Linked DNA regions of Mus musculus. The main gene of each other region encodes a partner of the protein of the gene in region 2 in a complex. Links are inferred from orthologs where the notes say so. Each region holds a gene or a part of one and is shown on either strand. Other genes may lie near its edges.

Region 1 (3,749 bases), on a different chromosome or scaffold from region 2:
TTGTCAAAGCCTTTCAATGGATAGAACTATAGGGATATGCTAGGAAACAAGAGATACCACCGTCTTCAAGCACCTCTCTAGGTTATTTATGAAGAATCTGTTCCTCTCATTGTTAACATAGACAGTTACCACCATAATTAAATGGGTCAATCTAGCATCACACAAGGTCCAATGCTACCACTAGGAAAAATTCCCCGCTGCGACGCTCTAGGGCACACACCATTACTTTAGTGGCATTCTGGTCTAAAAATATTGGCTCTTTTTCTGGTCATGAAGGAATAATTAGGAAAACCCATAGTGTAGAATAGCTAAGAAAACTAGACTAGTTTTCAAAAATAAGATGAGGAGCTAGAGAGATGCTCAGTGGTAAGAGTACTCGTAGCCAGGCAGTTAGCGCACACCTTTCATCCCAACACTCTGGAGGGAGAGGCAGGCAGATCTCTCAGTTTGAGGCCAGTCTGATCTACAGCCGAGCTAGCTCAAGACAGGCAGAACTGCACAGAGAATCCCTGCCTCAATAAATAAACCAACCAAGTACCCCTCAAACAAGCAAAACAACAAAAGAGTACTCATTGCTCTTGCAGCAAGTTAGGTTCCCAGTATACACAGCTCACAGCTGGCAGGAGCAGTTCCAAGCAAGGGTCTGCAACTCCTCTCTGGCCTCGTCAAGCACCAGGCAGTCACATGATACATATACACACATGCATACAAGCACGTGTGGTGGCTCATACCTTTAATCCCAGCACCTGGGAGAGGCATTCAGATCTCTGAGTTCCAGGCTCTCAGCAGAGGAGGAGGGAAGGGAGGGAAAGAGAGACAGACAGACCACTTCCAGCTGTGGGACCTGGCCTTTTAATGACATAAGGCAGCTGGCCACTCTCGTAACAATAAAGGCAATTTTTAGATAATTAAGAAAATCTAAATGTCATCTAAGTGTGATAATCTTTGCAGACTGTAATGCCCTTTAGGAGGCACAGGCTGCAACAATTAGGGCTCAAGCTCATGATGTCTGAAACTTATTTACAAATGCTTCAGTGAAACAAAGTGTATCTACAGATGTATTTAGGGAAGGGTGAGGGGAACTTGATGTGAAAATGAGGTGGGGGGGAGAAACATAGTTAAAAAAATGTTGACAAAAAGAATAATAATCCCCTAAACTATTTTTTGTTCAGAGGCTATAAGTCAGTGTTTATTTTGAGAGTTCAAATACTTAATAGAAATTTTTTTATTTTATTATCTTATTATTTTTCACATGATCCTTTAGATTATTTGCAGGTTTAGTTAGGTTGTGGGATGAACAGACAAGGTTGTTTTTTTTTTTTTTTTTTTGTCTTTCTCTCTTTCTTTCTCTCTCTCTCTATCTCTTTCGACAGGGTTTCTCTATGTAGCCCCAGCTGTCTTGGAGCTCTTTGTAGCTAGGCCTAAAGGCTGCCACTACACCCAGCATTACAGGCAACTCTTAATTAACTCAGTGTTAATCATAGCTAAAAGCACTTGAAAATGAATTCCTATTGTTTCCCGATTCAAAGTCTAGCCTCAAGGAAGATGAGAACCACGCTACTTGGGGGGTGGAGTCCCAGGTCTGACATTCGTTACAAATTATTTACTCAGGTCACTTTACTGATTGCTGTTGCAGTTGCTCAGCGTTTTGAAATTAGAGGGGAAAGGTCATTTTTTTTCATATCTAACTTTTATATAGAAATTACAGAAGTTAATTCATCCCTAAGGTCTCTTGCAGCTCTGACATTGCCATTCGGTCTTTTAATACACTTATACAACAAATCATGAACCAACAGATAAATCTACAACAAGAGAAAATGTAATAGGTAGAAAAATGATTAATCTATTATACTTTAAAAAAATACATTTTAAAAGCTTCTAGCAAGGCGTAATGGGAAAGCTCTAAGCAGTGCGTTCTCCAATATGAGACCTGGGAAGGGTGCGAGCCCTTGTACCTAATGACATAAGGCATAGTGTGCAGACAGGGTAAGAGCCGAGGAAGTCTAGATTTTCAGTAAAGGGGCTCCTGTCTGACAGCTCAAGGTCATCGAGTGGCTGGCTACCTTGTAATCTCAAAGCGTGCCCCCAAGCGATCCAGTCCCGGGTGGGCGGTGTCTCGGGGCCTAGGGTCCCCACCCTCGGGGTGACAAGGCCTCCGGGACACGGCTGGCCTCCCGCTGCGCCGCGCTGCCGGTTGCGCAGCCCCACGACCCGCGTGCACGCGGCGTCTCCCTCCGGGGTACCTGCCCGCTCCCTTTCCCGAGTGAAGGCTGTCACCCCACTGGCCGCGAACCCGGGATTATGAAAGCAGAGGAAAGGGACCATACTTAGCCACAGGATCTCGCCTCTGACACCGGGACCGGGCTGAAGAGCTGCGGGGCAGGTAGCGTGTGAGCTCGGAGGGTCAGTACAGAGCGAGCGCCGCGCCGCGGAAAGCTGAGAACACGTGGGGGCAGTGATGTCAAGCATGGCTTCAGACCCTTAGACGCAGATTCGTTACCACGTGGGAAAATGTAGGAAGAAAAGCAAGTGCCCAAGCAAATTCTAAAAATCATCTAAGAATTAACTTTTGTGATTATCTGTTCGTCAGTGCTCTCTGTACTTTTCACTTCCTTTTCCACGGCAACGGAATCTGTCGAAATTTCTAGAAAGCCTAATATGCTTAACCTACTAGGTTTCTAACGGTCTGCAGTTCCTACAGTGTAAATAACCCTTGATAAACAAAAGTGTTTATGGGCTAATCGAGAATTCGCCATTCCTCTAGGAATACTTAGTACTGTGTCCAAACATAAAGGCGATATTCTGCCTTTAAAAAAAAAAAGTCACATCTCCTGGCAGTCTTTTATGTTGGGAGTTTGTTTCCACCCGGACACGAATGGAAGAGCACCAGAGCACTCCCGTTCCGGTCGGGGGGGGGGGGGTTGGATCTTTGCGCGCATGCGTGCTGACGCTCAAGGGCGGGTTTTCGGGGAAGACGGTATTGACCCGCGAACAACCGAAGCTGTTATTCTATCAAAATCAAGACGGCGTGTGTGCCGGACTCTGTGGAGACTCTGAAGACTAAGTTGAGGTGTCCGAAATTGCGTCCTGACTCGTAGAAAGAAATCTACTAAGCTCTTATGAGGGTGGTGTTTTAAAAAACACGATTTTAACGTTGCCTGCTCGTCTGGGTCTCCTTAACAAATCCTAACCCCGCCTCCACGTCTGTTGGGGTTTTCAGCTGCAGCTCTGGGTTTGGAGGAGTGCGTTTTTATTACGGTTCCCGTGGCTTCTCTTTTGCTCTTGGCATAATTCCTTTGAAATTTATTTCTTCGATGCATTAACAGACTCAGTGGGATCAAGACTTTTTGTTTTGTTTTGTTTTTTGTTTTTGTCGTATTTAGCCCTGGATTAAATGTCAAAATCGAAATTTACAGCTTTATGGATATTTTGCCTATAGACTTTCTAAGTTAATGACTGCTTCATAATTATTTTTGGAACTCAGGTGTTTTTCAAATTCACTTCCACCATTACTTCTTTTCCTGGTACTCAAGGAGAAACTGCGTCCTTAAGTTTTGAGAAGCTAGAATTCCCTCTGTTAAGAACGGCGGGACTTGATTTGTGACTAACCAGATGAAAAACGTTGAGTTTAGCCTGGAAAGGGGGCAAAGGCTTAAAATGCCAGCGAGGAAACTGCGAGAGATTGTTTCTCCAAACCAAGGGAATAAATTGGCTGTGGTGGAAGATGAGCTGCCCCGTGTTCCTCCAGC
Region 2 (3,749 bases):
ATGCTAGAGGCTTTCAGTTTAATATTGCAATGTCTTTATGGAGGGAGCAGTGCTTCTTAGGTCAGTTTTACTGATGAGTAACCAGTTATGACATTCAGCCTAAAGACACTCAGCTGCTGATGGTGCAGCAAGATGTTTCCAAACGGCTACAAGCAGTAGTTTGAAGTCAGGCTGAAGTTCTGGTCCTGACATTGCTACTGACCAGCTACAGCCCCTGAGATTATTAAACCCCTTGACACCTCAATTCCCCTGTGTTAAAATAGTACTAATAAAATTAACCCACTGATTTTCTTTCTTTCTTCCCTTTCTTTCTTTTGAGACTGGTCTCATCTATCCCAGGCTGGTTTTGAACCCACTATATAGCCAAGAATGATCCTGAACTATTTAGTCTCTGGCCTCTAACTGCTGAAATTATAGGCACCATGTCAAGATCAAACCAAGGGCATCCTGCATTCTAGACAAAAATCCTACGTTATTATATCCCCTTCTCCCTTTGAATTATTTTTAACTATTTACAAAACTGATAATGGGGGCCTGGAAAGTGGTTAAGAGAACTGACTGCTCTTGCAGAGGACCTAGGTTAGGTTCCCAGCACCCACACGGTAGCCCACAACTATCTTTGACTCCAGTTCCTGGAGATATGATGCCCTCTACTGGCCTCTGCGGGCATGCAAGCAAAACATCCATACACAGAAAACAAGTAAACAAACAAATAAATAAATTTAAAGTGATAATATATATAAAATGCTTTGCAAATGCCTAACACAGAGTTAAAGTATAATTTAGGCCGAGTGTGCACACCTTTAATCCCAGCACCCAAGAGAATGAGACAGGTGGATCTCTGAGAGTGAGGCCAGCCTGGTCTATACAGATTAAGCTGACAACCAAGGCAACACAGAGAAGCCCCATCGTGAAAAACAAGAACAAAACAACATCCACTCCATCCCCCCCAAAAAGGAAGAAAAACATTAATAAATATTAGCAACTAAATACTATTCATTACTAAATGGCTGTTCAGAAGGCTTAGGCGGCAAAGGCACTTGCTGCCAAACCAGAAGATTTGAGTTCAATCCAAGATGAGATCCTATTAAGCTGCCCTCTGACCTCCACATGTGTGGCGCTATGGCATGCATGTTGGCATTCATAAACAAACACAAAATACATAAACTACATAAACAAGGGTAAATGGGCTATCTAAGGAGAAAGAAAGATGGAAACGAGGAGAGAAGAGAAGAGAAGAGAAGAGAAGAGAAGAGAAGAGAAGAGAAGAGAAGAGAAGAGAAGAGAAGAGAAGAGAAGAGAAAGTGCTTATATGTTCTTGATACTCAGCAGAGCCTGGGCAGGAGATTCTCCATCATACACCCCTTTTATTCCCTCCAAATAGCCAACCAAGTCCTTCCAGTGACCTGTATTTACTTCAGCGAAGCACGCGGTGAGGGTGGGGCGGGATTAGGAGGGCGGGACTTGGCTCCACTACCTTATCGAAAGCATTCGTTACAAGTGCTTCACTCTGTCGGGCTAGGGGTGACTAGGGCGAGTTTTCCTAGACAAGGTGAAGCCGAGTGCTTCTCTTTACCTGTTGTACATGTCAGCCATCATCTCCACCTCCAGCTCCGCAGCCAGCTGCTGGGCTCTGAGCGGATCCATGTCAACTTAGCACCGTGGAGAGAATAGCCTCCTGGTCTTTAGTCCTAGGAGCGGACATGATCAGTCAGCATCGATCCCTCCCGGTTCACCCTAGTACCACCCCCCCGGGGGGGCTGGAGGGCGCGAGGAATTACAGTGTTTCAGACCAGCGGGGACCAATACCCCGCTCAGTAAACGTAATCAGCCCTCTTAACAGAAGTGGAGATGAGGCCCTTAAAGAGGACAGTGTCCAGCTCAAGGTCACTCGCGATGTCATGGGGCTCGGGGATGGAAACCGAGCCCTCTTAGTACCTCGAGATCACTCCTAGAGCCAGAGGATTGACAGTTGGGACGGAACACACAAAACCGTGGGTCTGAACCCATGCAGCCCCGAGAATGTGACCCTAACCACAGCCTAGGTTCCCGGGGTGGGTCTAAAGGCTGAGCCTCTGTCACGGCAATGGCATAATCAGGAATCAGGGTTACCCTGGGTATCAGACACCACGGCCCACTCACCACGGCCTGGGGCAGGTCACAGCTCCCGCAACGTCCCCAACTTCGGGTCAATAGTAAAAAGTTACCGGGTACCAAGGCAGGCGAAATAAGAAGCACGTGGGTCACTTCCGGAAGGAAGTCTAGCCTCTTCTTTGATCCGGAAGAAAACGCCGACCAGGCTGCGCTGGGAAACCGGCTACCATAGAGAAACCGACCTTAATTTGCTAGAGTGGACTCCAAAGTACCATAGAATGCTGAGTGAGTGGCAGAGCGCCGGCAGCCTTGTTAGCATTCCATCCCTCCGGTTGTCCGGGAGACGCCTGAGCGTTTGCAGTGTGGAAGAAGCTTGGCTCCCTGAACCCACCATGGAGAGCCCACGCCAGAGCGCAGACGGATCTTATGTGAAGAAAGGAGAACGTTTCCCAAAGGAGCCTGTCAATTTTGCATGTTAAAACACCTGGAGCACTTTAAAAAAAAAAAAAAAAAAAAAAAAAAAACACCTCAGCGCCCAGACGTTACCTCATACCCCTGAAATCAGAATCCCGGGGAGCAGTGTGCAACATTAACTAGTGGAGTTGCAGAGAAGATACACGATCGCTGCTCGCAGAAAAAAAGAAACATGTATAGAGATTGTCTTTATTTGCTTTTGAGGCAGGGTCCCATGGAACCTAGGCTGCTCTCTAATTTGCGGTGTAGCCGAAGATGACCTAGAACTTACGAACCTGCCTCCACCTCACTAGTGCTTCGGCTACAGATAAGCGCCATTATGCCTGACTTTTGCAATGTTGGGATGAAAACAGGACCACATGCTTAGGCAAGCACTCTATCAACTGCCCCAGTGCTGCAACATGTTTTACTGCACTTCTTTATTATAGCCCTACACATGCACAATAAATAAAGTAAGTAAATAAATAAATGTAATAATAAAAAGCATTGGGTTTATCCCTTTAAAATTTTATTAGGGCAAATTCACAACACAGAACACAGTCTAATGAACGTCATTGAATCTATCCCCAAGATTTAATAATTCTTACTATTTAGTCACATTTTCTTGATCTATTATCTTTAGCAGATGAAGTCTTTTTCCCAAAGTGCTATTTTCACATTCTCAGCTAATAGTGATGTTTTTTTCATCTCTCTTCCACAGTGCTGAAGGTTGAATCCAGGGTCTCATGCAAACCCTCCACAACTGAACTACACAGGTCATTTGATATACTATTTTTAAATTTAAATTTATTTATAAGAACATGTGTCCTTGGGCTGGAGAGATGGCTCAGTGGCTAAGAGTACTGACTGCTGTTCCAGAGGTCTTGAGTTCAATTCCCAGCAACCACAAGGTGACTCACAACCATCTGTAATGGAATCCAGTGCCTCTTCTGGTGTGTCAGAGCTACAGTGTACTCATAGATACAGAAAATAAATATATTGAAGAAGGAGGAGGAGGAGCCCATGGTAGGATCAAAGGAGGTCAAAGGACAACTGATTCTCGCAGCAACCAGAGTGATGTAAAAAACAAACAAACAAACAAACAAACAAAAAAAAACCCTACAACTGGATCATGTCACTCACCCCCTAGATGCTGCAGTAGTTTCTCATCATGGAGAAAGCCAAAGTCTTCTCAATAGCTT

Evidence for each region.
Region 1: the proteins of Timm10 (region 2) and Timm9 are in contact, whole or in part, in a crystal structure (PDB 2BSK), measured with the Homo sapiens proteins. The link is inferred for Mus musculus from reciprocal best matches to the Homo sapiens genes TIMM10 and TIMM9. Residues at the interface, in NP_036588.1 of Homo sapiens: Glu16, Met17, Asp20, Met21, Arg24, Ala28, Cys29, Lys32, Cys50, Arg53, Cys54, Ser56, Lys57, Tyr58, Asp60, Ile61, His62, Arg64, Met65, Gly66, Lys68, Leu69, Leu72; in NP_001291414.1 of Homo sapiens: Lys15, Leu18, Gly19, Tyr21, Asn22, Lys23, Thr25, Glu26, Cys28, Phe29, Leu30, Val33, Asp35, Phe36, Thr37, Thr38, Arg39, Glu40, Val41, Glu45, Thr46, Glu50, Leu53, Leu57.

Annotation. Positions count from the first base shown.
Region 1 is NC_000078.6:71,134,228-71,137,976, forward strand, and holds the start of Timm9 (mitochondrial import inner membrane translocase subunit Tim9), read right to left. Parts: upstream 2,449-3,749; 5' UTR 2,328-2,448; intron 747-2,327; exon of another isoform or gene 732-746; intron 1-731. Other genes in the region: 2700049A03Rik (protein TALPID3), read left to right, coding at 3,613-3,749. UniProt on the Homo sapiens protein: Mitochondrial intermembrane chaperone that participates in the import and insertion of multi-pass transmembrane proteins into the mitochondrial inner membrane.
Region 2 is NC_000068.7:84,825,541-84,829,289, reverse strand, and holds the start of Timm10 (mitochondrial import inner membrane translocase subunit Tim10), read right to left. Parts: upstream 2,270-3,749; 5' UTR 2,143-2,269; intron 1,692-2,142; 5' UTR 1,648-1,691; coding exon 1,577-1,647; intron 1-1,576.